Linked DNA regions of Kluyveromyces lactis. The protein of the gene in region 1 binds, or shares a complex with, the protein of each later gene. Links are inferred from orthologs where the notes say so. Each region holds a gene or a part of one and is shown on either strand. Other genes may lie near its edges.

Region 1 (3,473 bases):
CTATCAATGAGGTAGCATAGTCTTCGAGATATTTCCTGTGATGAATTAATCTTGTATGTATCATAAGTATAGTAACTCCCTAGCTTCGACTTATTTAGATCGAATATCCATCCTATTAGACATTTTCTGTGTACCTGTAAGTTACAACCGCATTGGTGTACGATCCAGTCGTCGTTCTCACACTCCGTATCTAAACACACCCAACAAACGTACTGCTTGTGAAATAGATCATCAATACAACTTCGGAGTGTCATCCTAAAACTGCCTAGGATAAGAGTAAATGTTGTCCTTAATTAAACACCACTGATAAAGCTCTAATATACGATTTATTGCCTGGCTCTATTGCCTGAGTAACCTGTATTTCTTCCATCTTTTTAGGGTGAATGTTATATAGATAAAGTTTCAATTTCTGAAGTCTTTCCTCATGAAAAGTTCATTATAAGCACGATTAAATGAAGGAAGATACCATGAATAAAACTCACTTTTGGTTACCTCCTCCTCCATCAGCGTTACTGTTGTTGCTCCAGTTCTGAACCGATGTCATGAACTAGGCTCCCTTCGGTAATTATCTCCAAGCTATCTTATCTTGATGTTGGGACGGTATATATTTTACAAAAATACTAACTATGTTGACTATAATCGTCTTGGATGGGAGTTGTGGTATAATTAACCTCTGAAAAGACCGAATAAACCTTTCTTGGATGGTGCTTTCGATTCCTTGACGGGTTCATCGTCTTGGTTTGCCTCAGCAGTAGTTGAAGATACCGACTCTTCTGTAACAGAGGTAGAATCTGGTATGTTGAAGTAGTTGTAAGCCAAGTCGTAGAGGAAAGGTTTTGGAGGAATTGGAAGAAGTCTTGGTGCGAGTGGGTACAAGTTATCCAAGGATACGTCACTTGGTCTCACTTTGCTTTCCAAAATCTCGACTAGAGATGGTTCGAATTGACGGGTTTTCTTGTTCTTTTCCATAGATTTCTTGTGCTCTGCCAGGGCAACAACAGATCTCCATCCGGTAGTGATGTATTTCTTCAAGTCTGTGATCTTCCCCTTCGAGAGTAGCTGGGATGGTAGATAGATTTCATCCCAGTTTATCAGGGATTCTTCGGCGTTTTCAATTCTTTGTAAGCAGTCGACATATAGGGCGAGTGATTCCACGTATTTCTTCTTCGATTGATATATGTTTGCTAGCAGTTTGGAAGTGAAACAAGTTTCATAGTAAGTCTTCAAGAGGAACACTTGGTTTGTTAGGTCGCTGTCTGAGTAAACACCCGGTAGATCCATAATCTGACTTAACAAACTCTTTAAGTTCTTGATAATATGGTCCACTTCTTTGTACTTGTTTAACTTGCTCGTAAAAGACTTATTGTCAAATCTTTCCCATTGCTTCAAAAGACTCTCGAACAAGCTGCTGTCTCTTTCTACACCGGTTACCATGGCATTGTATTGTAGATAAGTCAAGAGAATTTGATTGTTTTCGTCAGTATCATCTTCAGAGCATGTCGTCATATATTCTTTTTGTAAATCAATGGCTCTGTTCCACTTAAATAGTTTATCGTTCAAATTGGAAAGCTTGCTGGAGTTGTGCAATTCAGCCAATTCACTGTACACTTCAAACACTTTACTGTCTTCTATCGTTGCGGAATATGATCTCCATGAAATCTCACGGGATTGACTCTTTGAAGCGTCAGTTTCGGGAACCGAGAAAGAGAACCCATGAGATTGTAACAATTGCAAAAGTTGGTCTTCCGGGTTAGCCTGTATGACTCTTGAAATATAGGTTTGTTGATCTCTGACAGAAAAGGCATTGGCCTTCTCTTTGAAAATGTACAGGTACTTGCTCTTCACTGCATCGGCCACGCCTTCCTTCAATAGCTTTGAATCAACTAAAAAGTTGACCGCAGCTAGTGCTAATGCTAGATGGGTAGAAATCTTCTCTGCATCGGAGAATTTGACCTGTTTCTTACCGTACAGCTCATATTCGGTCCGGATTAACTTTTCATATATCATTATTTCTGCTTGGATCTGCCACTTGTCCTCACCTTGAGACAATGAAATAAGTCTGTCACAGTACCTATTGGCCTTCTTTATCCTGGTACGCATGAGTTTCAATTCAAGACTCCTCAAGTGGCCCCTGCTTCTACCTGTGGCCTTGATACTTTCTACGTAAGCCACATCTCTTTCTGCTAACAAAAGCATTAAGAATCCATACAACCGATTCTTACTGTAATCCTCATGCGTAATCTTATCAAGTTTCTCCTGGCCCTTATAGTTCTTAGAATCCTTGGAAATCAACTTTAAACGGCCTCTCAATTGTTGTAACTTATGGTTAACCTTTTTATGATATTTATGGTAATCTGCAAAAGATTCTAACAATAAATTGGATCTGAACCCATAGGTAACACCCAAAGGAGAGTATACCATTGTTCCTTAATAGCTTAAAGTCAATTGATGAAGTCTTGTGAAAGGAATAAGTCAACCAATACACCCTTTAAACTTGGTGGAGACCTCAAATAGTCATGGTTCAACATTATTCAAAGTAGCTTTAGATCGATTACGAATTTCAAATAAAAAAATTTTTCCAGCTTAACTATGGTGAAAGATGAGGAAATCGTTGCCAGATCTGAACAAAATAGAGAACAGTATATGCATCGCTTGCTCAATTGGTACCTGACTTTCCATATCAGATACTGCTGCTTACTATTTATCTTATAAGCCGTGTTAAGACACAATTCGAGGCAGATTTCCCTGTTCAATATCCGTTTGAAATTTGTCACTGTGATAGAAACGATCTTGAATCATTTCTACTTGAAATAACAAAAGGTGTCAAACAAGAGATATATCTGGTAAAAAGAGCAAGTTCGTTCCCAACAAACGTATCTGGCAAGCTTATAAGGTGTTACATTGTTGGTAATGGGACGTCATATATTGAAACATGTTTTCGCGGTAGGAGGAATCTACTGTTCGTTTTTGACATGGGGTTTATTGCAAGAGCCTTTGAACACTAGAGTATGGCCGAACTCTGGCTGTACGTTTCAAGTACCATACATAGTCGCATTGGTACAGGCAACAATTGCTATGATTTGTGGGTTAATCTATATAAAATGGCAGAAACCTGTGCTTTCTCTATCGAAATTTTGGACCAGTCATACAAGGGATATGGCGATTATTTCATTATCCCAGGCAATTTCTGCTCCGTTAGCTGCTTACTCGTTAAGCTATGTGGATTTCTTGACTTATATGTTGGCAAAGTCATGCAAACTTTTACCGGTGCTGATGGTCCATTTGATTGTGTACCGTACACCAATTCCAAGAAGTAAGAAATTAGTGGTACTGTTGGTAACGGTTGGGATAACAATATTCACTTTGGATGGACATAAACCTTCTATGACTGAGAATGACGTTTCTGAGAGTTCTTCATCTTCTTCGTTGATTGGTTTTGTGCTGCTGGGTAGCAGTCTTTTCCTTGATGGATT
Region 2 (1,968 bases), on another chromosome or scaffold:
TACCAGGAAATGCAACGGTTATTAAGAGAACAACAAGATTCGAGATACCAAGAATCGCTAGAAAGGGACCAGGAAAGGGATAGGGTAATCGAGGAAAGCCAACTTAAAAAGAAATGGTTGGCTTGGAGAAAATCTGTACTAGTGCCAGAACCATCGGGTGACGGTTGCAGAGTAAGCATCAGACTAGAAAATGAAAGAATTATTAGAAGATTTGATGCTTCATTAACAATTGAGGAGATTTACGCATACGTTGCATTATACAGAGCAGGTTTATTATCTGACACTAGCAGCGAGAATGATATTACACAAGAAAAACCAAATTACGAGTATCAGTATGACTTTCAACTATATTCACCTGTGCCCAGAACCCGTTTGGAGCCAACCACAGTGATCAAGGAAGAACGGACAATTTATCCATCGGGAACAATTGTCGTGGAGTTCGAATGAAAACCAAATTACTGGTTTGCAGTTTGACATCTATATATGTATATATAACATGTACTTTATAATGCTACACGATTGCGGATTTATGATTCATGGGTGATAATAGGTTGGGAATATTTCATCAGTTTTTCTTACCACCCTTCTTCTTCTTCTTCTTTTTAATTAATCCAGACATACTTGTTTTTACAACATTAACATAATCCTTCCAAAATTTATCAAGAGTCTTTGAATCTACCAAAGTGAAGAATTTCGTTCGTTTCCCATCATATGGCATGCTCACTAGCACGATAAGTCTGTATGGTTTTGTATCTGGTTGAGCGTTTTGTTTTAAACGTTTGGATTCTGACATCTTTGAGATATCACCAGTAGGATTGGAAGTAACATCCAATTCATTAGGTTTTTGAACGTGATGACTGCCCAAGTCTCTTTTCAAGCTTACTTTGAGCTGATTGTGCGATACCTTGGACATTCTGAAAGCTTTTTCAAGCTTAACAAAAAATTCGTCATGAGACAAAGGTTTCTTTATGAAATCTGGCGTTTCCTTAAGCCCACTAGCGGTTCCATCTTTGTCTGACATAATGGGAAGTTACCTGTATATTCTGGTGACTTGGATAAGTGATGATATTGAACCTTTTTCTTTGGACATCTTTACCATATTCTGCCTGTCGAAGGTTGAATCTAAGGCCTTTCCCTCATTTGACTGGAGCTAAGTACGATTTTTTCAACTGGCAATTACACTACCCGGCCATCGTCCCTTCACTATGTGTTTCCTCTTTATTTCTACGACGTTTCTGATATCCACTCTGTTTCTATACCGGTAAACAAGTGCAAAAAGAATGAAATGTGGCAAACCACGTGACGTTCTTCATTACCCGGATAACATTTAACATCTGCGCCAGATTTGCCAAATCAATTGTGCCTATTCACCTGAACCCGAAAAGAAATTCGTTAGTTTTTTTAGAAAAAGAAATTTCCGATCCTCGATCTTGTTTTTCCCAACAAAAAAAAAAAAGAAAAACAACAGGTCCCCATACTATATGAGATGAGACGAGATGAGATGAGATGCGATGAGTTACAGAGAAACAGAAAGGGGGTAGTCATTGTCACTTTGCACTAAAGAGAAGCGTGTGTAAGCTTCTCTGTCATCAAGGAGATTACGGACTGTTTTTTGAGGTATCCTATTGGATATGTAAGTTGATCGCGTGATTTGCTACAGAGTTTTGTTGGCAATGTTACACCTTCAATCGATCAACTGTACATTCTCTCACCCTTGATGAGAGATCCGGGAGTATCCAGTGTTATTGTAGAAGCTCAATTGTCAATCGATGGCAAGATATCAGACATTGGTGTCTGTTTTGTTTTTTTTTTTTTTCTCTCCCTACTAGCCTTTGACGCATTTTCCTTTTGGTTGGATTTGGTTTCATAAAGAATCAGTGTCCCTCGCTGATTTCACCACAGTACAATTCGTAAAAAAAAAGAATTGAAACATTAAACCGTTAAGCGTAGCCAATACAATCGTTTATA

What was found. The genes of interacting proteins can lie anywhere in the genome.
Region 2: SRP68 (region 1) and SRP14 share a complex: the UniProt entries of both Saccharomyces cerevisiae proteins name them as parts of the fungal signal recognition particle (SRP) complex. The link is inferred for Kluyveromyces lactis from reciprocal best matches to the Saccharomyces cerevisiae genes SRP68 and SRP14.

Annotation. Positions count from the first base shown.
Region 1 is NC_006040.1:1,096,732-1,100,204, reverse strand, and holds SRP68 (signal recognition particle subunit SRP68), read right to left. Parts: upstream 2,422-3,473; coding exon 667-2,421; downstream 1-666. Other genes in the region: KLLA0_D12892g (uncharacterized protein), read right to left, coding at 1-254; UDP-galactose transporter HUT1, read left to right, coding at 2,911-3,473. UniProt on the Saccharomyces cerevisiae protein: Component of the signal recognition particle (SRP) complex, a ribonucleoprotein complex that mediates the cotranslational targeting of secretory and membrane proteins to the endoplasmic reticulum (ER).
Region 2 is NC_006042.1:679,642-681,609, reverse strand, and holds SRP14 (RNA-binding signal recognition particle subunit SRP14), read right to left. Parts: upstream 1,022-1,968; coding exon 566-1,021; downstream 1-565. Other genes in the region: clathrin-mediated endocytosis regulator UBX3, read left to right, coding at 1-447. UniProt on the Saccharomyces cerevisiae protein: Component of the signal recognition particle (SRP) complex, a ribonucleoprotein complex that mediates the cotranslational targeting of secretory and membrane proteins to the endoplasmic reticulum (ER).